Linked DNA regions of Saccharomyces cerevisiae S288C. The protein of the gene in region 2 interacts with the protein of the main gene of each other region in a biochemical or structural test. Each region holds a gene or a part of one and is shown on either strand. Other genes may lie near its edges. The genes, in order: PAH1, NEM1 and PKC1.

Region 1 (8,086 bases), on a different chromosome or scaffold from region 2:
GATGTCTTCAAAAAAATGATTTCGCCCAGGATCGAACTGGGGACGTTCTGCGTGTTAAGCAGATGCCATAACCGACTAGACCACGAAACCATAGTAAGTTGGAGAATTCTGTATAAAGAGTATGCTACATTTCTCTAAATATGTTAGGAATTAAATATAAAAATTCCGAAAACTTTGAGGCACCGTCTTTTTAGCTGGCCAGATAGCTTGCTTACCTATTTTCTTGCTAGTTTAAATTCGACCGGAATAGAAATTTGGTTACAAGAACGCTATTGCGCACCAGATGCAAATTTTTTTTTTATTTTATATAGTGTCACTGGCACCCCTCCATTACATTGTCTAATTTAAAATAACTAAACTGATATACTCACTTACTCTAACGATTGACTCCTGCTTGGTCAAAAATATGTATAGATGTTAGACCATCTTTATATGCCATTATTTTGAAAACCTAAGTGAGAAGTAAGTTTCACACTTCATTTGAGAAACGATACACCTGCACTGAACGATGATCCCAAAAATCGTTCCGACAAATACAGACAAACAATTTTCTTAAAGATTCAAATTAGAAACATACTACTCATATGAAAGAAAAGATGCAACGGTTAGTATTGGAAGAATGACGATGAAACACTTTTTGTTGTTTAATAGGTTTTAGCTATCCATTAGATCAGGAGAAAAGTCACCAATGTTAAATATGTCGAATGTTTCTGTATCCATAGAAAAAGAGCCATTTAGTTGTTGCTGCGAGTTACTGTTTTGAACTTTTACGGTACCCTTACCGCCACTGTCCTTTGGAGTGACATTGATGAAGTTTGTAGCAGCTGAATCACCATTTTGTTCCAGTTTCTTAGATTTCATAACTTTCTGAGCTGCAGCAACTTTTCTTGATTCCTTGGTCTTTGTTTTACCCACTCTCTGTTTCCGCTTGGGTTGAATTGTTGTAGTTATATTAGGAGTTGTGCTGGAGCTAGAAGTACATTTTGATGATGGTTGTGATACTGTGGGTGTATTATTACTATTATTATTATTATTATTATTATTATTATTATTATTACTATTATTACTATTATTATTATTATTATTATTGTTGTTGTTGTTATTGTTATTGTTATTGTTAGGCAAAGGAAAGACGGAGGTAGAATCATTTTGTGGTACTGAAGTATTGGTTTTATAATGTTGTGGTAGATGAAATTGTTGTTGCGGAGCGAACGCATGCATTGCGGAAGAAACATTTTGATATAAGGGCTGCATATTGATCATAGGGTTTTGTCCGGATGGATTAGTCTGCCTCATACCTGGATTTTCAATGACAGGAGACCCCATATTTCCTGGTTGTAATGGCATAGTGTTGTTAGCTGGCGCTATACGATTAGTGTCTGGAGGAAAGGCACTATTTTGTAATTGCTGGTTAGCCGCCATTCTTTGCATCATCATATGCATGTACTGCTGTTGAGATGTTATATCACTAACAACCGGATTTGCGACAGTGCTTTGATTTTTCATTTGTTGAGGAATTGTTTTCATCTTATTGAAGCGGGCTCGTATGTGTTCTTGCAATAAACTATTGCCATTTGCGTTATTGTCATTTGTGGGCGTAGTTTCTTCCGCAGTATTGTTACGTGTATTAGATTGATAATTTTGATTTCCAAGATTTTGCTGTAGTGAATTTTGCTGTAGTGCTTGCTGCTGAAAAAACATTTTCATAGCGTTCATGTCATCAAACCTGCCAGATTGGCTTTGCTGAAAAGATGGCGCCTGTCCTTGATTTTGGTGGTGTAATTGATATTGAAAGAAGCGCTGCTGGTCTGAAAACATTGAAGATTGGGTTTGTGCATTAAATTGTTGATTTGTAGGAGGCACTGAAGGCATAAGTCCGGTTGAATGAGAATTTTCCGATGGAATATGAGGGACCATTTGTGGGTTGACAATAGGATACGGTGTCTGTTGCTGCTGTTGATGTTGTTGCTGTTGCTGTTGCTGTTGCTGCTGTTGCTGTTGCTGTTGCTGTTGCTGTTGTTGTTGTTGTTGTTGCTGTTGCTGTTGCTGTTGCGGTTGATGCTGGGGTTGATGCTGAGGCTGCTGGATCTGCTGTTGAGATGATTGCTGGGGCTGTGCTGGTGATTGCAAATCATTGAAGTGTTTATGTAGATTTATAGTTGCGTACTGCTGCCCAGCAATATCACTGTTTATAGCAGTATCAGGTGCAAAATTAGCGCTATTCTGTTTGTCGTAGACACCGGAAGTTCTCGATAGAAATCTTTCGGAGACGTTTCGATTGGTTGGATCGTTTAAATTAAAGTTACTTCCGTCACCATTGGGCCTAAAACTCTCCTCTGAAACTGGAAAACTATTTTGAGTTGGTGGAATCACATTTGGTGGGAGATTAGAGAAATGGGAAGGCATATTAGATTTAGAATTAGCTGGCAAAATTGGTATTATTCTCTCTCTTAAAGGATTATGATCCTGTTGGTACCCAGATTCTAGGTCTCCATTGAACAATGATTGAAAAATTTCCCACCATTCCAGTAAAAACGTGTCATTAGCGTCCATCAGCATTTTCGAAGGTAATAGCCCATCTTCACTAACAATGTCACCCTTAGATGCAATATCCATTAATCCCTGCTTCAGGCTGGCGTTCAAGCTAGTTTTCCCACCCGAAGCAGATCCGTTTATTCTAGATAAAGGAAGGTCAGCTTCGCTTAAAAATTTTGCGGCAGAGTTCCAGTAATTGTTTTTGATTAAATAGTTATAAATATGGGCGTACAATAATTGCTTAGAGTTCTTAGCCATTACATCCGAAACGAAAACTCGAGAATCCGCATCAAACTGCAACTGAGTATGGCTATTCAAACCTTTGATATTGGGAGCTGAGCTAAAATCCGTGTTACTAGAGCGCTCATTTGTATTAATATTGGTCGTGTTATCCATATCTTTATCATGCACCTTTTTCTTATTTCACTGCAGTTTAACGAAAAATTGACAAAAGAACCGGGAGATACCAAAGGGAAAAACCAAAAGAGTCACACAGGATTGCAATAGAAATCTTTCTGGTCTTTTCTACTATGGTGATTTTATTATACCCCTCCTCTTCCTGTTATACACGCATTGTATTTCGGCATTGCCTCTTGGCCGCTTTTTTCACCTGACGTAATACCTGTTGCAGCAAGCGAGTTTCGTGTGCGTATAGAAAAGTATTTACCTTGACATTTCGAAGAAGTATGTAATTACCAAATAGCTCAGAAGAACACTTGGTACGTAACAATCATCGTTTACCTTTTTCTTCTATCAAAAAATTTTCTTCTTTTTTTTTTCCTTCTCTTTTCTTAAATAAAATTGAAAAATTGTTACTTAGTACTTCATAATTTTACTTAATATGCAGTATGGATCGTTATAAATAATATTCGGCTACAAGAATCTTTAATCTTCGAATTCATCTTCGTCGAATTCATCGTCATCGAATTCATCGCTTACTCTTGAATCCAAATCTTTATCGTCCATTGAGTTGTGGGGTAGCTGATTGCGCCCTGTTTCATTAACACTTTGCTCCCTTCGTGATTCGGTATCTGAATTCCCAAGTGAATGTACGTCATTTGAAACGTTGATCTTTGAAACAATTCTTGTTGGAGCGCCGGCCTTTGACACAGAGAGCTTTTTGAACTCTTTATCGATACTAGTCGCGGCTGCAGAAGATGCTCTCCTTGATTTAGTTCTATTGTAATTGGAGTCTTCATCATCCATATCGTCTAAATATCTTAGTTTTGGCGATGCAAGTGGAGAACCTAGCTCCAAATATATTTGTTTTCCAATGTCCCCTTTGGACATTGTAGATTTATTGGGCGTGGATCCTGAGCTACTATGGGAACTCACCAGGTCAGACGCATTTTCTACATCAGACGAAGCGGCTAAAACTTCGTTGTTATTTGTGCTGCCGCTCACATTTCTTTGCGGGGCTTTAGTGACCTTGGCGGTTTTGACTGAATTTGCCCTATTTCTACTAATGTTGCTTTGTTGTGATACGTCAGTATCTTCATCGATGTTATCAGAATCATCATTGCTAATATCCGATAAGTTGTCGATGTCGACTAACGGGTCTCTCCAAAAATTTACGTCTGTGAATTTCTCTTCCTGATTGCCTCTAAATAGCGTTTTGCGACCTGAAGTAATTTCTGAGTCAAAGTTATCCAACGTTCTATTAGGGGGGGAGCCAGGAACCATGGAAGTATTAGTTCTTAGATCGACACTATCAAGGCTGACTGGTGGAAAGAAATGATCGACAAGCTCATTGATATGAATATAGGAGCTTCTGTAACCTGCTAACTCCAATAATTCCATATGAACCTCACCCTCTGTATTTATTGTGAAAATTCTTGAACTAGGTATCCCCACAGTTCTGTAAGATAAAGCATCAGTAATCCTATTACCAAAGCCGGCAAAAAATGGTGTTGATTTTTCCTCTGTATCCACTTCGTTATCACTGTCTTCAAAATACAAGGATCTTATGTCGTTTAGACACGCGATTTTAAAGACTTCAGGTTTTTTTAGTATTACTTCCCGCCTTAACGCAGCCATCGTTCTATCGGGTGATAAAATCACAGGCCCATTTGGTAGTTTGCTGCCATTCTGTTCAATTGATCGCAAATAACTCCTCGTGGAATCAGCTTGTCCAGCACTTCTTGCAGTTAGATAGAGTATATTATAGCCATTCCTGGAGATCTCGCTAAATAACTTGGCTACACCCAAGTGCGTCCAGTCTTTTCCTATCATTGCCAGAACATGGCCTAAAGCGTCCGATTTTGTGATGGTGCCATCAATATCACTGATAACAATTGGAACATCCCACCTCCAAACGAATAATTTTGACGTAACAATAGCTTTTCCGTGATCTACGGAAAATTTCAGATCATTTTCACCATAAGTTAAATTTAGGCACTTTAACTGGTCATTAGTCAATCTTATCGTTCGTATGTATCTTTTCTCGGTCTCACCGCTCCCTGCTGTTCCTTTCTTGCTAGTTTTTTCACTTTTACTGCTTTGTTCTTTGCTAAATGATGTTTCGTCCTCAGTATCGGAACCAGAAGGTGAAGAAGATAACGAATTCAAAGTACTTCCTGATTCCATTGCATCTAAGCCTAAAACTGATCCGCTTGTGGCCATTGTTGGAGGCGTACCTGGAGGAGATAAATCAGTAAGGTGCTCGTAAGGATTTACGATCTTGATGTTGCCATTTTTGTCCTCCTTGATAAAACTGGAAATATCTGAATCATTACCGAATTCGTCCTTTAACAACTGCTTCAGTTGTATGTCTGTGTCATGCATCATATTCTTGTTTGGCTTGTAACCTTCAGTGTCTAGTAGTAAGTCGCCATTGTTATCAAGTTTACTGGGTATATGGATTTCAGTGAGTTTTTTGTTTAGTTTTTGCTGAAAGTTCTTTGTACGCTGCTCAACAAGCTTCCTCTCTTCAACTGAATCTGGTGGTGTCGTTGTAGAGGATTCAGTAGGAGAAAGCGACCCTGTAGTTTCACTATTTTTACTGCCTGAATCTCCAGTGTCATTGATATCTAAAAAATCTGGTTCCTCTAGCACTTTCTTTTCCTTCTTCTTATTTTCATTTTCACCTTCACCTTCACCCTCGGTTCCTCCTTCTAAGATGGATGTTTCAGGTGATTGAGGGGGGCTTGATGTGGCGCTCATCACGGGCGACACAAGCAATTCGTCAGGGACATCAGTGACCTGGTCACCCATCTCGAAAACGAAATAGGCTTCTCCAGAATCACTCAGTTTCATTGGCATATTACTCAGTTTCTCATTTATAAACACTTGGACTTTCTTTTGAGATGGCTTTAGAATTTGAAATTTGCCGAACCTCACATGAAAGGGAGAACATGATAGCCTTCCGTCTGGATGCTCCACTACAATGACATCTATAGCACCTGATAGCGTAGCCGGATTGATAGAAGACCATGTTTTAGACACAGACCCAAGAGCTCTGCCTACGTACTGCATAATCGACCGATGTGTCTATCTTCAGTAATTTCTTCCCTGTATGTTTCTTAGAAGGTAAAACTGTGATTACGAAGGTGTAGTGTCCAATTGGTCTGATTAACACTTCTTGAACACGTTTTACTAAATTGTTGAATGTATTTTCTTTATAAACACAAGCCCCCACGATGGCCTACTCTTCACTTGTCCTTGCTCTTCCTTCTACCCTCACCGTGCGCTGCTTTCAACGCTGGCCGGAAAAGCCGAGAAAAAGAGATAGATAATAGAGAAAAGAGAGCCCATTGTCTAAAGGGAGGGAAACCGAAGGACGAAAAGGGCCCGCGACAGACCGTTTAGAGAATGAGCAGCACGTGGGCACTTCGATTTTGTCTCCCAGTGATGTAGTGTTATGATATACAAGATGAGTTTGGACCCTGTTCAAGCAAATCTGTCACATTTGTTAGACTTTTTTTTAAACGAGCCCTCCAAACAAGAACGCTCAGTGTTAGGAACTGCGAACGAAGAGAGAAATGCGTATTAAACTTAGATGAGTATTCTTGCCGTAAATGACTATATACAAAACTTATTCGGAAGAACCTATATCTATGTATGTGAAATGATAAGTACAAGACCCACTGTGATGTGCAGTGATGGCGAATAGGGTGAGGTCCCTTGTACTGTCTTTATTGTAGCCGCTTGTAGGAAAAGTTTTATCACATAAAATTATCCTCTAGAGAGTTAGATGAGCCAGAAATCAGGCTCTTAGTCCGTTGGAAATGCGTTACTTAATCCGCGTAGGGTCATTTGATACAGAAGCAACATTATACTGCTCTGAACACTTGTCCAGACGAATCTAGGGCCAACGCCACTAAAGAAACCTAACACACCTTCAGATTGGTAGACCGTCCGAAGGCTGAGCGAAATCGAGTTGGAAAGTGCTGCCGGTCTGCCGTTTGTTACATGTGGATGTGTTACTGAGTATGATTTGTTGCTTTGGCTGGGCGGCTGTTGAGTTTGGACTCTAGTCTTAACAACATCCATTGGTGTGGTAATGATTCCCGCCAGTCCACCTGCACAGGCACCAGTCAATATTTCATTAGGTATAGACAACTCACCATCCCTACCATCTTTCTGTTCAATCTTGAAAGCCAATTGCCTAAACTTTTCGTAGAAGGCAAACTGCAATGCACTAAATGGCAAATCTCTGGCTAAAGTGGCTTTGTATCCAAAAAATAGTGAGCGAAACCCTTCTTCTTTTATAACTGTCTTTATGGCATTTCTTAAATTCGAATAATTATAGCCAGATTGAAAGAAAGGATTATTGAACCTTCCTTGCAATTGTAGCCTTGTCTTTAGGACCTCTGATGGAACATAAACAAAACTGGAGATAAAATCGCCAAGAAATCCAGCGCTCAAATGTGTGATGGTATCGTTAATCTGCCAATCTTCTATCATTGTTCTCTTAGTATATTCATAGGTCCCAAAGAAGATTGCCGCTGACGGGAAGGAGCCTAACATGGCAGCCATGTAACCGCCGTATAGCCCCCTTCTCACGCCTTCTTCTAGCCAAATGGTACGATATGCAGAGATCATGTTCCTGTATTTTTTGACATTGGGTGCGCCCTGTTGTCTTGTCTTAACAGTATCCAATGAATGCATCGCAGAATCTCCTATTTTTCCACCAATCCCACCGGAGACGACACAATGCCATATAGGGCTTAAGTCCTCATCTGAATCGCCTCTTTTTTTGTGCAGTTTATCATCTTTTCGGTTATTATTTGGTTGATCTGGAGTTCCTTCTGATGTCGGGGGATGGTCATGAGGCGTATGTATTATCGGTATTGAAGAACTCAGGTTCCATGAGTTCATTATCTTTTATACCAGTCGGTTGGAAGTGAAGATTATTATGCGTGCTTCGTTAGAATACTCAGCGTTTGTTTTCGGCTTGCTTTGATGTTTTTTCAAATTAATGAACACAATGTAAGAAGTCGCTATCGTTGTAGGGTCCTAGAGATGTCAAGTTAGAGTTCAATCGCAAGAAAAATAGGAATGTGATACCTTCTATTGCATGCAAAGATAGTGTAGGAGGCGCTGCTATTGC
Region 2 (7,249 bases):
GTTGGGTTGAAAACACCGATATAAGAGCTGTAGTAGCAATTAACTTCCACGTATTATTTGCCATTTGTTCGTTCTGCTATCCTAACTAATTGCAGTATTAATACTTTACTAACGCTAGAAAATTTTTTCATAGTCTTGTCTCTTTTCGCTACTGCATAAAATATGAAAAAGAAATCAAAAAACCTGACAGCAAAATGTAAAGTAAGATACGGGCATTTAGCGTGTCACTGCTGAAGATAACGTAAGACTAAAAAAATTTCAAGATTAATTCCCAACCTATATATATATATATATATATATATACTGTTTAGATCAAGTATATCTTCCTGCTAAATAATTAATATGCTCGTATGTAGAAAACAAAAAAGAGGTCTTTTCTCTTTTTTCTCCCGTTACTTTTTTCCCTGAATGCAATAACCTTTCCATTAAATGAGCAGCAATGGATAGGCGATTTATCACCTAAAATTCTCATCTTTTTTGGAAGGACACAATAACAATTGTCAGTTTATGTTGAATGCCTTCTCTCCATGTTTCAATGCCAGTATATTCCTGACATCTGTTGAATACCTCATAGCCTCCAAGAAAGGTAACAGGTTCAGTAAGTCCGTATCAGTTGGATCACTTATCCATCCTTCTACTTGAATAGCGTTATCTACATTCATTGCGTAACTTACCGGGCTGTTATCTATAATAATGACATCATCCAAAGAAGAGGAGCTGCCTTTCCCGTTTTCTTCGGAGTCCTTGACAATGCTCAAATCTTTAATGTATCCAACACCATCCCTTAGAACGCAATCAGAACGGTAATATCTTTTTGAAAAACTGGATGGGAAGGAGCTTTCTAACCAATCTATCACAGGATCAGCGTATTCTTTCATGGATGCTGTAAAAATGATAAGGTCGTACCATTTGCTAACTTTTGTCAAAAATAAATCACAGTAAGGCCTCTTGTGAATAAAGTATAGTGTACGAATTCCGCTCAATCCAAACTTCACTTCCACCAAGTGACCCTGAGAAGAATTACTATGCGTTGTACTTCGAGAAGCCGAGTGAATTAAGGTCTCATCGAGATCTATAACCAGTTTCTTTTTCTTTTGTGTGTTAAGCACGGATTTAGGTATCAGCTTCTTTGGAAATAAGAACCTTCCCATTCGTTTTGTACCAAATACGGTATTAGAACTTGAATGATTAGAAAGTGATAGTTCTGATTTGGAATAACTTCTTGGCCTTGATTTGACAGATTGAGCTCTAAGTAATGAGCCTTTAACATTATCCCTTTGTAGAATTATCTCATCACTGGCATTTAAGTCATCCTCAACTGCCTCGGGAATCGTATTTAGATTGCAATTTTTAGGATTTGTTTTCTCGCTAGAATCGTTAATATTGCTTGAACTGACAGGCAGCTCATTCTCACTAGCATTTGAACCCCTGTTTCTCTTATCGGTGTGTTTTACACGACGCTCGATGACACTTAGTGGGAAGGTAAAAACAAACCATAAAGACATCAAGGGCTTGATTATCAGATAATACGGAAGAAAAAGTAGTAGTGCCCACAAAATTGACGCTATTTTCTCTATTAGGATGGAACGTAAAGCTTTTGGTTTTTTAGGAACAGAATTTTTGCGCTCTTGATTTTGATCAGATTCTTTTAAGTGGCTTGAGGAGTGGTCGTACTGTTGGTCCACCTCACTAACGCAATCATTTTCGCTGTGGCTAGTATATTTGTTCGAAACTTCCTTTGAAGGGCCTAGTAGATCTTGATTCTTTGTCACCTCAACATTGATTTTTTTTTGTTTCTTTGTAGTTATTAAATGATTTGAGAAATATTTTAGGGCATTCATTCAATTAATGAAACAATGTCCAGAAATTAACAACAATAAAGAAAAGTGAGAATAGGATGCAAAATAGGTTCTATATATCCCGAGTATTTACCAGGGAGAAGAATTCGAGATAATACCCTGTCCTTACGTAGAAGAATCAATTGTTTTCAAGAGTTTTTCTTCTAAAAAAGTGTCTGGACCTTTTTTTTCTCATGCGATTTTATTACCCTTGTTTTTCAATTGAAAACCCGGAACGATTTAACGAGATCAAGAACTGTTGAACAAAATGGCTTTTTCATTTGGCATTCCATCATAGACTCTAATGGAGAAGAAAAATAGTAATTTTTTCTGGTGCTGCTGCTCCTTCTTGCATCTTCGGAAACAGAATTTACGTATCTAAACACTACTTTAATTATACAGTTCCTTCATATAATACCAATTTTTTTAAGGTTTTGCTGGATGATTAGATCGGTGACTGCACTCAATACGAACTTCATAGTTTGGGTATCGGTAGCGCAGGTTCGTTTCACGTAGATTGGTTTGTTTGTCTTATTCAAGCTCAAAAATATCTTCTCAAAATATTTTAGACCCGCTTCTGCATCGCCGACACGTCCCTGGTAATCAGGAAAGTACTTTCTTATGGGCATGCTTTTTACCTTTTCCTCGAACAAATCAATTTTATTTAAAAACAAAATAAACGGTGTATCTTTGAACCACTTAGAGTTCAATAACGTGTCAAATAGCATTATTGATTCATGCATTCTGTTCACTCTTTCATCCTCAAACAACATCTGGTCGTATTCACTCATTGCTAAAACAAATAAAACTGCTGTAATTCCTTCGAAACAATGAATCCACTTCTTACGTTCAGAACGCTGCCCACCAGCGTCGAGAACCTTGAATTTGGACGAGCCGATGTTAAATTCGGTTTCTGTAATGCCTGTAGTCTTTATACGGCCCTTCAAAATGTCTTCATCCGTACAGACATAATTCGGACTAGCAAATTTCTCAATGTTATCAAAGTAGTATGCAGCTGAGCCCTCCAATTGAAACTCATTAGAACGTGCAAAACACTGCTTTATACCTTTGTCGTTATTCCAAAGTTGCTTTATTGCCTTAGCAATGTCTTCGTGAATAAGATTTCGTCTATTTTGTCCTTGAATTTCCCTTGATGTTTTTCTAACAAACATCTGGTCATCGCCTTCTTGGTTCAAGTCCTTGCAAATATCCTGTAGGTTAATTCTACTACTGTTGTTTCTATCAGCATCCTCATTTTGCGTCACCGTTTCAGCATCTCTGTCAGTGTCACTTTTGACATTAGAAATATTTCCGTCTTCATCGAAAGCAGCTTTTGCTCGTCCGGTACTCTGAACACGCCTCCTAGTTTCATACCTTTCTGAGTACTTCAGTACATAATCATTTAGAAAATCAGAACCACCGGCAACACTGGCGTTGATATAATCTAAAGCTTTAGCCTTTAGCAGTATTCTCTTGCATGCAAACAAATCTTTATTGTTGATCGGATCATCACAGTCAAGTTGAATACCTAGTTTTCTGGCCTGAATAATCAAAATTTTCATTGATTGTATGGCATCTGCCCATATCACTTGAGCATACTGTAACCTTTCTTGATGGGAGAAACCGCCTTGATGTAATAATTTTAATTGTTTTAAAACCGTTGATTTACCTGACTCACCGGCACCTAATAGTAACAGTTTTATTTCATTCTTGTCACGTTGTTTCTCCAGCTGCAACGATTGCTCGATGACATCATTGGCTCTTTTGTTCTGTAGAAAAGGATCACTTTCGTCTCCTATTGTTTGCGTACTCACTGTACACCCCATTATTTCCTACCTTAATATATCAATTTATACACCTCTGGATTATTGATGTGATGCTAAAATACCAATTTACAGTATGAATAGCTTCTACTCAGTTTGGTCTTAGAAATGGTCAAAAATGTTAGAAACGGAGTGACAAGAAAAAATGAATAACAGATCAAAAGATTACGAATAATATAAAACGTAAAGAAATTGGTGGAATTCTACTATCCTCTTCATTTTAGACTATTTTTTAATATTTCCCTTTAAGGAAAACAATATGTAACAAAAAAATTTCTGCTCTCCATTTAATTGCATTTCTACAAGGAAGAATACGCAGAAGGACGCGCAGAGCCCTAAATTGATGTGCTTTTTAACATGCTGAGCCGAGTGCGTTTCGGTGAAATAACACGAAGATGCGTTTCAAATTGAAACTAGTCAGTGTTATCTGCATGAAAAGGGAATATCGTTATGCATTCAGTTTTCCAATAGAGACATTTTTTTTTTTTTAGATTCGGCTTGCTTTATCCACCTATGATCTTGTTTTCAAACAACATGTGCCATGTAAGATAAAAAGGTAAAGATGAAGTACAGAAAAGAGTATAATGTTACTTGTATATACAGGATATGAATCAATAATACTAATTATAACGTTGAGTCGAGTAAAACAGCTTATGGATTTCTTTTCTTATTTTCGTCTTATCATTACTGCTTTAATGCACATTTCTAAAACTTACCGGCTGCGTTAAATGATTGGCCCATTTTCTGCATGTTTTCACCGACTTGAACATTGGTCTCAAAATATTTGGCCACACATCTGTCTAGGCACGAAGATTCATTCTTATTCAGCTCACCCTCGGAATAAGAAGTATTGATACATTTTTTATAACAGTTATTAACCAATTTATTGAACATGTCTGTGACCAAATCTAGTTCAGCTTCCGCAGCTTGAATCTTTTGTTGAGATGATAATTGAGGCTGACCACCACCGAAACCTAAGAAAGACATGTTTTTCTAAGTATGATAGTTCCTTCTTTTGCTTGTTTATCTGTTAAAAGACATGAGAGGGGAACGAGGAGAGTAATAGTTCTTTAGAGAGCTTGCTCTTGTACGTTCACTGCCAGCTCTCTCGCTGAAAAAATTAAAGAAAAAAAATGTCCGATAGCTTCAGAGGGTGATCATCAGCTACGAATTGGGAAATCAATGCAAAAAATGCTTCCAATCGGATTTGAACCGATGATCTCCACATTACTAGTGTGGCGCCTTACCAACTTGGCCATAGAAGCTCTAATAGTGATAGGACCCAGATTATATTTAGTGACTTGTTGATAAATGTTTTAAAATATTACCTTCGTGTCGTTATCGTTACTGAGGAAAGATTTGCAAAAAATAATTACATACTTGGGCTCTTCTGAACGAACAAGTTAACCAAAAAGGTGTATATTACTTCCTCTTGTTTTGTTTCCGGGCTAATGCTTACCTTTCCTTTGTTTCCAATGTTCTTCTTTAACACCAAAACATACTATTTGAGAAATGGGTGAATGTTGAGATAATTGTTGGGATTCCATTTTTGATAAAGGCTATAATATTAGGTATACAGAATATACTAGAAGTTCTCCTCGAGGATATAGGAATCCTCAAAATGGAATCTATATTTCTATTTACTAATATCACGATTATTCCTCATTCCGTTTTATATGTTTCATTATCCTATTACATTATCAATCCTTGCACTTCAGCTTCCTCTAACATCGATGACAGCTTCTCATAACTTATGTCATCATCTTAACACCGTATATGATAATATATTGATAATATAACTATTAGTTGATAGACGATAGTGGATTTTTATTCCAACACTATTTGAGGTTTGGCAACTGTTGAAATTATTGTTAGGACATTGTTAAAAAAGGTTCTTTTATTAGGTCTACAAAAACAAAAAAAGTTTTTTCACGAGGACAGCGTGAATCACAAAGGTGAGGTCAATAGTTTTACATAATAATAAATAACGTTTTTTTTTTCTTCCTTTCATGTGTTGCCTTTCTTTATCCAATTACATTGTCAGCCCTTACATTTCAGTGCCTATTGAATTTGTTGACCACTTCCCATCAGCAATACCATCCTCTTACGCAATATATGATAATATACCCGCGACATAAATATTAGGTTAAAAACAGACGGCAAAATGTGCCTTGGGCGGCAAAATCATGAGAAGCGCACATGTCGTGATATCAATAGCACGGAATTCCAGAAGAGAGAAAATACCAGCACTTATAACAAATGATCACAGTAAGCGTGAAAAAGAAGAGCCTGTTGCTACAAAGAACATTGAAATGATAAAATAGTGAAAGAATTCCAATGAATGGGAATATGGATGGCATTTTGGCAAGAAATTGGGCGGTAAATTTTCGTAAAGCTGATTGATGGTCAGCAAAACTCTCTTCAGAAGAACCAGAGAAATGGGCCAATTCTCACGAAGAAAATTCTTATAGTGTGTAAGCATAGGTAACGATCACGATACCATTAATTACCTGCAGTCAAGAACGAGATTTATTAACTGAAGAAAAAAAACAGACCATTTCCCACAAAAATTGTCGACGTTTAACTTGTGACTGATAGAAAGTTATAAAGTAAGCTATTAATGGAGGTTCTGAACGCATGACATGCTCCTCTAAGGGCTAGAATAGAGATTATAATGTTATTTGAAGATTGAAAGTCTGTTACCCTTCTTAGAGTCATCCATTCGAACGAAGAGTATCTTTTTTTAGAATTCTTATCATTTTTTTTTTCTCTTCACATTCCAATACGGGCAAAAAGCGAGAAAAACGATGATTAATAAATGAAAAACAGTGATTAATCATCCGACAAACAGACAAATGCAAGAGAGCAAAAAGTTGGGGAAGTAAGGAAATCCATTATCATGCCTATCTTATCACTATCTTCAACACGGAACAGCGTGTTAACAAGGATATATGACTACCTTAAAGCATTAGTGCAGCAAGTGATTGTGCCCAATGTGGAAGACGACAAATCTTCGAAAAGTACTCCTTTCGAAAAGTTAGAACCTGCGAAACAGAACCATCCACAGAAAGACTGCTGTGCTACCGAAAAGGACGATCTGGTTGACGTGAGCGAATTATTTCCCAAACAGAACAACAAACAATTGAGTCTAACATCAAAATCTTCAGTTGTACCCTGTGCTTTAAATTTGGATAACCTAGAAACACCTTTCTCAATTAAAATTGATAATAATGGTGCAGTCACTACACAGTTGAACTTGGACGAACCGATTTTACGGGGCCCTAGCCGCGGCGAGCCAGCAAAGTTACAGAATGACTTGATAAGTTCTCCCCCGCTAGAGGAATCCTATATCAATAATGACCAGTACAAAGCTCTTTTCCCCTCTAATTTCCTTCCAATCACGCCCGTAAGTAGCGTAATCACTCCTGCATCGAAGAAAAGTATTGATGAATCTCCCCTATCCGATGAGGTTCAAGGAATTGCTGATGAGTCATCCGAAACTTTACCATATATATGTCACTATTGCGATGCTAGGTTCCGAATCAGAGGTTACTTAACACGACACATAAAAAAGCATGCGAAAAGGAA
Region 3 (9,021 bases), on a different chromosome or scaffold from region 2:
ACCTTTTAAAAACGATTCACTTTGAGCGATTGTCATCATCCCCAGCCAAAGATTTTTTTGAACTGATTGCGCTATACAAGTAGTAACCGTTGGTCGAACCCATGCTAAGCTCCGAGGGAAAATGGAGGCCTTGGAACTAAAAGAGCCTGCTGGGTATATCAATGTTTCAAGTTCGCCATCTTCTAAAAGTAATAAAATGAGGTTTGTGTCATGGCATCCACCAAAATATGGAGAAGCCTTCGGCAAGGGTAGAAAATTTATTAGTGGAGCTTTGCCAATCAACGAAAATAGTTTTTGTTGAACCGGTTTAGCATAGTACTTGCTCATTGCGTCAAATGATGTCACAGAATACATTGGTGTGCCGCCTAAGTCAATCATGGTTATTTCCTGAGGTAAACAGGGATTTTCTGTAGCTTTTGTTGCAATCAACAACGATGTATACTCAGGATTACGCTGGCAAAGCCAGCTTACTTTAAAGATAGCGGGTGTTTCTGTAAAGGAACAGTCTTTCAAGGCAGGATTTGGAAAATTCACATGTGTTTCAAATATACTTCTAGCGTGAATCAGTTTACCGCTATTGACATCCCAAAATACCAAGGAATTATCTTCATGGACAGTTAATATATGTAAGGAATTTGGGTGATAAAGTGACTGAATGACCTTTGGAGTGCGTTTCTTTTCTATGTTTGTGGATAGATCACCGCCCGGAGCATACGGTTCTAATTGGTAAAAAAAATGTTGCTTGACTTTGTAGTCAATGAAAGAATATATGACTGTAATATGCTCATATGATATAAGTATCGTTCCTATGTCTCTAGGATTCCATTGGATAGAAATAACCGGTGATAGCCTCTCTTTTGGCAAAAACACACTTTTCTGGAAGTTTTCAATTTTCAATTTGGACATTTGATTTCTATCCACATCATAGATCAATATGGATCCACTCTCGAGGCCAATCAGCATCCAATCCAAGGACGGATCAGTCTCAATACAAGTGATGCTGTTTGGACAGAAAACAGTAGTTAGAATCTGTTTCGAGTGTACTGAAAGAACTATTATGTTGCTCTTCTCATCTACAGCTATCAGATAAATTCCTTTAATAAACCGCATGTGTTTAATTTGAGGTCGATTTTTTAACGTAAATACGACCTCTATTTGCTTTTGCCCATAAACATGTATCTCCCCAGCAGTAGTTGCAACTGCCAAAAGGCTTTGAGTATAGTCGAATGTGGTAACAGTGATTCGTCCATTTATGCCGTATGTGCATATTTTCTTAGTATCGAAAAATTTGGAGTTAATACCATTTGAGACGTCATGAACTCTCGCGGATTTGATAGCATTTGACACATTCTTCAAATGCCTGCTTTTCTTAAACATTTATAAAATTTTTGTATCTGTTCAATTGACAATTTTGTAACTTTTATAATCTGTCAACTTTAGAAATATGTTAGTAGTAATATAATACTGAGCTGTTTCTTAAATGCTTCCTTAATAATGTAAACAGAATGCGCATTGTTGAACATACGGCTTCGCATCGCATCGCTTAAACGAGGTTTTTCATATGCATGCTCCAAGATAGGTACGAACAAAAAAGAGGCATTGCATCAAAATGGATAGTTTCAGTTTATGTAACAAAATCTCATTAAAAAAACCCTCTCCTCCTATGAAGCGGAACAGTTCAACTTTTCCGCTTAGATGTTTTATATAAAATTAAATAAATCATGGCATGACCTTTTCTTCATAAATCCAAATCATCTGGCATAAAGGAAAATCCTCTAAACTCTTCTTGCTGGCTCGTTGTCAAAACAGAGGGCAGAGGTGTAAGTGTGGGTGGCGCAGAGGTGAATTCTTGCTCGAAATATGATGTATCTTCCGGAGATTTAATTTCTGGGATGTAGGGTGGTTTCACGCGAAGGTTTAAGATATCGTCAAAGTTGATGTTACGGAAGAAAGGTTCTTCCATAACTTCGTCTGCGTCCCTGGGACCAGCACCCAACCTCTTTTCAGGATCTTTTGTTAATAGGCCTTGGAATATTTGTACAATCTCACCTGCCATATCTATTGGGTATAAGGGTTCATCGGTAAGGATAGCGTTAAAAACTTCATCTTCGTCATCTCCTGAGAATGGAGATTGGCACAGTAGCATTTGATATAGCAGCACCCCAAATGCCCACCAATCGACAGCTTTGGTATATTCTTGCTCTTTTAAAATTTCTGGAGCCATAAATTCTGGTGTGCCACAAAATGTAGAAGTTCTATTACCATACCACATTTCATCTTTACACAAACCATAATCGGCAATTTTTATATGACCTTCTGGAGTTAATAGAATGTTTTCCAACTTCAAATCACGGTATATTACACCATTATCATGAAAATATTTCAGAGCCAGTAAGACCTCGGCGGCATAAAATTTGGCCCTTCTTACAGATAGTCTTTGGTTTTGAACATGCCACATTAAGTCACCGCCCCCAATAAACTCCATAGCAAAATATATACGGTTTTCAGTTTGAAAAGAGCAGTATAGATTGGTTAAGAATGGGTGTTTAGTTTTTGTGGCTAACAAAAATACTTTCTTTTCTGCTCTTGCACTCTCGATGTCATGATTTTGAATAATATTATCTTTCTTCAGAACTTTTATGGCACAAAGCCTGTCAGTATTCTTTGATTTAGATAAAATAACTTTACCAAAATTACCTTTACCAAGAACTTTGAGTAATACGAAATTATCTAATGAAACCTTACGACGTTTAGCCGCTCTCTTTTTATGCTTTGCGCTTGTGCTGGTTTGTGATTTCTGCGGAGATTGTTGATCAGTGGTTCTGGAGGCATGAGTACTTGTAGGAGCCAAGGACACTGTTTCTTGTAGTACTTCCTTTGAAGCATGGTCTTGTTCAATTTGAAAGGTTTCACTATTCATATCGCGGAATGGATTTGTGTGTGTGGAATCTATTGTCAAATCAGCTTCACGGAAATCATTTTTGTTCTCCCAGTCTAGTTTCTGTTTGGTCTCTAAATCAATGTGATCAACTTCTAGATCCTCTTGGATTTCCCCACTATCTTGTTTTATTTCAAGTTCCATTTCCTCACGTTGTGCTTTCCACAGTTCAAGTTCATCTCTCATTAAATCATCTTTAGATTCCCAAGTTTGACTATGCTCAATAGATAAATCAGTGAGTCCCAAGGAACGTCTATTCGACGTTGGATCCAGTGTTTTCTCTGGTGATGAAAATTCGGCGGTTTGTTGTGCACCTTCTGTAAAATTTAAATAGGCCTCATTTTCATCGATAAATTTATTTAGTTTCTCACGCCCGTGCGTTTGTAGTGAAATTCTTTTATCAATAATAGGATCATGCTGCTTAGTTGGAGAATCTCTTCCTACCTTCTGAGGCGAAGGAGTTTTATCATGTTTTCTTGGCTGAGGAGGCAAAGGAGCGTTTGCCCTTTCAGCTAATTTGGATGGGGAAAGATCACTACCATTGGCAGTACCAATAGATGACCCCAACTGTGCCGACGGAACTGTCCTCTTCTTTTTCTCTTGATTACGTTTTGTGTCTTGAATCGTTTTCAGAATTTTATTAGCCATTTCCATCGACATGCCACAGAAATCGGGAACCAAATGAGCACATTGAGCATGACACATTATACCACATTCAGAACATTTGCGTACTTTATGTCTACCCCATGGTAAAATATAACCACAGTGACAGCACCATTTAGTACCACGGTTTGAAGTAGGCAGGAATCTATGAGGAATACGGTGGTTCAACTTTGCCTCGTCCGGATCCGTATCAGTAGAAGTTTTAGCAATACACTTAGTAACAACATTGGTGTAACATTTTTTGTGACATAAAAATTTACAATCTTGACATTGGAACCCAGTATACCGAAGGAAATCACCACAATATGCACAGCACATAATGTTGTAAAATGATTTTTGTACAAAGTGGTGGCCATGCTGTTCGAATATCTCTTCTTTCCTATTGATAATAGCACCATGACGATGTAGTCCACCCATCAACTGCTTCCTTTCTATTTGAGAAGACTTGTGGAATCCTAGTGTTAACAAAATCTGCCCGGATGGTTCTAAGACAAACCATGAATTCGTACTGATTTGACTAGTTGATGTATTTTCGCCTTGCACATTCTTTGCTGAAGTAGACTGAATGGCTGAGTTTGAGTATGTAGAAGTCAATGTGCTTCCCTCTTCGCTAGCGAGAGAAGAACCACCATTAATGTTTGAAGCGTTGACCCATCCTTGTTGTTCATTTGTTTGTCCGGCTTTCTTCTTACGAATTTCTTCAGCGATATCGGAAAGCAGTAACCACATTATAGCCACTGGAATGAGCGAGTCGTTCACCTTATCATATACAGTAATCTCGATTTCATTCCCTTTTTCAACTGGAATTTGAAAATCTTCACTCCACCTGTCATTTCTAGAAGGCTTCGTTCTGGCTTTGATCGTATCATCGATTTTTATAGTAACGTAGCTCTCTGGCTTCCTGGCAAACATCGGTGATTGTATATGGTCAACATCTCTAGCAGCAGTTATTCCAATTGTTAGAACGCCAGTCAGTTGTTTTCTTCGGAATTTCGGTTGTTGATTATCCATTATGTCATTGGGTTGGTGTTTAAATTGATCAAAGTCAACGTTAATAGCTTGGTATTTCTTCAAAGCTTTGTTAAGCATTTGAATCCTGTATTTGGATTCCATAGCACCCCCTTCTGCCGCAGAACTACTACGTTGATCACCGTCAATTTGATACAATTTAGTCAATTTAGTATTGGCTTCTTGGTATTGCTTTTCCACCTGTAATTTGAATTCTAATTGTTGCAACATGTATTGGATTCTTTGCGCCAAAGAAGGGCAATCATATTTTACTAAATCCAAACGAGAAAATATGTGTTCATTTGGCGATTTGGTAGAAAGAAACCCGTATTCCTTCGAATTGCATCGCTCATTATCTTCGCTGCCATTTTCACCCTGACTTTGTTGAGCGGTCTTCAACCGTAATTTTTTTAAGCTATCCTCCAAGTACTCAAGATTTTGACGTGCCTCTCTAATATTCGTATTACATTTCTGAATGACCATAACATTGCTAGTCTTTTTCTTGAGGGCAGAAGCTCCCCGAATAATATTTTCTTCGACGGCTATCTTTTTTTTAATGTTCTGCTCCAATTGTGAAAAACTCATGACTGTAAACTGCTCCCTATATGTGTGATACTATACTTACTTTTCCTCGCTAGAGCTTCTCTCCGCAGCTACTGTTCTAGGTTTTATTCCTATTGATTATCTAATATAGTTTTAAAAATCTATACTGAAAGGGGATCGACGCTGAATACCTCTAACGTAAGTGTGGACGAGTGGTGGCAGAGACTTTTACAATGGTTAATAATCAGTCTCTACTCAGCCAAATTGAATAGCAGTGAAATCGTAGCTCTTTTACTGCTCCTGAACCTGTCGTATTACTTTCGATAGAGTAGATCAACTTTATTATCCACGCTTGTTAACTCTTTTCGTCGGTTTTTTTCGCCTTTAAAACTAGGCGGGCTGGGTAATGAAGATAGCAATGCCTCATAAATACAATGTTATACTAATTACGTTTTTTCTTTGGTTATGTATATATATTGTGAGAATAAAGAGAAGTTGCAAGATTTGGTTTATTGTACAATACTACTTATTACACTGGCAGGTGCAACCTGGAGTGGGACAAACATTATGTCTGTCAAACCATTCTTCAGCGTGACCGGCATGCATACCATGGTTGCAACTCAAACAGAAGCTGAACCACTCGTTCAACTTCAGTTTTCTACTTACGAGTTCGCGATTTGCACCATCTTGAGAGTCTTCTGTCTGCATTGGATCGCGTGATTGCGTCCCATTTATTACAAAAGGTAAGTTTGACGTTCCTAGAGGCATGAGACATATGGCACATCTTGGAAATGAAGACCCACAGTGTGGGCAACAATACTTATGTCTTGGCTTTTCATCAGCTGCTTGTGCTTCAGAACTTCCAGTATTAAATTTCTTGTAGTCAGCGTTATTTCTTCTATAGGCTTCACCATTTTTGTAATTTCCAGCACTAGTAGAGACGGCGCTAGAAGGTGAGGATGTGCGCGGAGTGTTGATGTTTTGTTTACAGTTTTGACATTGGATATATATTTGCCGGGGCTTTATGTCTGCAGTTAATACACCAGTTTTAGTTCTCGATAATTTTGATCTTAAAACATCGAACCTGGCTCGCATGGAGAATAATTCCCACGATTTAAGCATATCTCTATAAGTTTGTATCCATTCATCTACTCGTTGGTCGCGGAAATATCTAGGGGAGCCGAAAATTGATATCAGTGCGGCACTCTGAACATCGCTGGTTTTATTAACGTATGATTGCAGTAGATCGATACCATTAGGTGTTATTCCGGTGAGAATTAAACCTTCTAATTCGCCGTTTTCAATAACTGTAGATGAAGTTCTATCTAAGAAAGTGGTTAGGTCTGTATCATTCAAAAACCTTAGAGCTACCCCTAATCGTTCTCTCAAAGATATGGCAGGTTCATAAAGAATATCCCACCAATCATTGTCTGCGATAAAGGCGAAAATAACTCTCAAGTAAGGATCATCTAATTCGGAGGACATTTTTCTGCATTGCTGCCTCCATGCATTGTTACCTGGCAGATCCTTATACGCCAAGTAACCTGCAATAGCGGTGGCAATTAGTCTCAATCTTTCCTTTTTTGCAGATCCCAATATTTCTACAGCCTTTGGGATATCACCAAAAAATACCGCCCAAGCGGCAGCTTTTTCATAATGGCCGTTTTTCATAATTATGTTGTACTTGTCTTCATAATCAGATCTGGAAAGGTCCCATCCTGAGATAATTAAACAGAGTCTTCTCTGAACGTACTTTGGTGAACCAGCGGCATTGGCAATAGGACTGTTCCGATCCCTATTTTTCCTTCTTAGTTTGATGATTTTTTCCATTTCTTTATTTAGTTGTTTATCAGAAAGAATTGTCTCTTGTCTATATCTGTCTTGGTTCGATATTCCGTTTATACCATTCCAAATACCTATCACACCTTCGTAACCTAAGTCAAGATCACCAGAAACCATCGTACCATCGTCAACAGAAGCCTTTGCAATCGCGATCCACCTCCATGTGTTCCTTATATAAGCATTGTTTTGTAGATTTTTAGAAGAATCAATCATCTCTACCGTGTTCATTGGATCCAAACCATATCCCAATGAAGCTCGCGTCCTCATTATTACACTTATATCTTTTTCCAGAAGTTTTTCTGGCTTCCAGAACAGTTCAAATCCACGCTTACTGTCAAGGACATCATTACTCCCTTCATTTTCCTCTTCACTCAACTCGGAGTACTCAATTTCATTATTAGGTTCATCATGTCCAGACGGAAAGTAATCTTCGCTAACATCTAAATCCTCAAACGATAGATTCTTTAGGATTGTTTTTACATTCTCTAAGTTGGACTTTTCATGCTCATTGTTGACTCTAATTTCATCTATCTCAGTATTTTCAAAATTTGACAATAAGAGAGAGTTCCTATTATTGAGTATAGCCTTGGAGCATACCTCTGAAATTGGCATTCTGTATATTGTTCCCGATTGTCTCATACAGATTAGACTTGTTCCATTATTACTTCTTGGAATATAATCAAATGTAGCAACTCTATCGTACATCGTATTTGTGTCATGCACGGAAGAAACAAACAAATTCTCAATATTCATCTCGTTATCGTCATCTGCCGCAATATCACGATTGCTATCGCAGTAATAGCCTAACCTCCATCTTTTGATGGTATCACCTCTATGTAAGGTGGCAAATTCATTGTTCCTCACACATGACCACCTAAAGCAAGAGTTCATGTATTTCCTTGACGCTGCACCGGATCCAACCAATTTTTCAAAAGTTAATAAAGGGGAAGCTACATTTAAATCACCAAGTGAAGCTTGGTCAGATAATTTTCTCCTATCCCAAATAGCTAAGGTCCCATCATCCCCATAAGTACTAAATTGCCAATCGTTAAACGGGTTCAGTTTGATATCATACGTCAATCGTGTCGGATGTTGATAAATTGGGTTGGGGGATCTGACGTCAATTTCTTTCAAAAATTTCGTACTTGCAGCCAATACACTGGTATCGTTGAGGAACTTTAGGGATACTATGCTTTCATTTGTGCAATAACTAAACATTGGGTTGATAGTTTCATGCGAATCATCATGATAATTCATGTCCCAAATTTGTAAAGATGAATCATGCTTATTTCTGTCAAGACCCATTGCTATAAGACCATTCGTATTTATTCCCAGAGAGTTTATACACCGCTGCTTCTTTGCTCGTACACGTATATCATAATTGGTTTCTGAAACAGGGTACCCTTGGGTATCCTTTAAATTTGAGACAGATCCAACTATATTTTCCGCCTGAGCTGCCTTACCACCGCTGGCATTTGTCATAGAAGTCTCGTTATTGGCATTTAAGCCCACTGGCGCATGGCTCGCTGGCGATGAGGAATTTTGTCCAGAGATATTAAAAATCCTTAAATATCCATTCTTTTCACCAACTCCAATCATACCAATTTCTGATTCTGAATAGTCTAAGCAGGTGATACTGCCGAAGTCTTTCACAGTGTGTAATTTAATAATTGATTCATCAGATTCATTTTCCGGATCCACTTTATAGTGGGTCACTTCATCTCTTGTAGGGTTCACTGAAAGATAATCAATCAAATTATCATATGACCAATGGGTCACTTTTTTGATGAGACCCATGTTTATTCTTCTATACGTTCGTGATACTGCACTTACGACTACCAGTAACATCAGAATAACCATAGAGCTTATGCTATCTTGAAATATATCATCGCCGTAAAGTATGATGTGTAGCGCATTAGTCTTCTGCATTCATATTATCAGTGGTATACCGTTTGGTATATGCTTTCCAATCATGAAGTGTTGGCTCTACTCTATATAAATTCGACATCCATTGATTTTCTCAATAA

The links.
Region 1: of the proteins of NEM1 (region 2) and PAH1, one has a biochemical effect on the other in vitro, tested with the Saccharomyces cerevisiae proteins (8 studies listed by BioGRID).
Region 3: of the proteins of NEM1 (region 2) and PKC1, one has a biochemical effect on the other in vitro, tested with the Saccharomyces cerevisiae proteins (2 studies listed by BioGRID).

The regions. Positions count from the first base shown.
Region 1 is NC_001145.3:586,620-594,705, forward strand, and holds PAH1 (phosphatidate phosphatase PAH1), read right to left. Parts: upstream 6,010-8,086; coding exon 3,421-6,009; downstream 1-3,420. Other genes in the region: MSS11 (Mss11p), read right to left, coding at 655-2,931; MME1 (Mme1p), read right to left, coding at 6,748-7,854. UniProt on the Saccharomyces cerevisiae protein: Mg(2+)-dependent phosphatidate (PA) phosphatase which catalyzes the dephosphorylation of PA to yield diacylglycerol. Required for de novo lipid synthesis and formation of lipid droplets.
Region 2 is NC_001140.6:111,254-118,502, forward strand, and holds NEM1 (Nem1-Spo7 phosphatase catalytic subunit NEM1), read right to left. Parts: upstream 1,842-7,249; coding exon 501-1,841; downstream 1-500. Other genes in the region: TCD1 (tRNA threonylcarbamoyladenosine dehydratase), read right to left, coding at 1-64; GPA1 (guanine nucleotide-binding protein subunit alpha), read right to left, coding at 2,246-3,664; protein transporter TIM10, read right to left, coding at 4,367-4,648; STP2 (Stp2p), read left to right, coding at 6,561-7,249. UniProt on the Saccharomyces cerevisiae protein: Catalytic component of the NEM1-SPO7 complex which acts as a phosphatase and dephosphorylates the phosphatidic acid phosphohydrolase PAH1. Essential for the formation of a spherical nucleus and meiotic division.
Region 3 is NC_001134.8:12,503-21,523, forward strand, and holds PKC1 (protein kinase C), read right to left. Parts: upstream 5,195-9,021; coding exon 1,739-5,194; downstream 1-1,738. Other genes in the region: putative Rab GTPase-binding protein SRO77, read right to left, coding at 1-1,377; SEA4 (Sea4p), read right to left, coding at 5,675-8,791. UniProt on the Saccharomyces cerevisiae protein: Required for cell growth and for the G2->M transition of the cell division cycle. Mediates a protein kinase cascade; it activates BCK1 which itself activates MKK1/MKK2.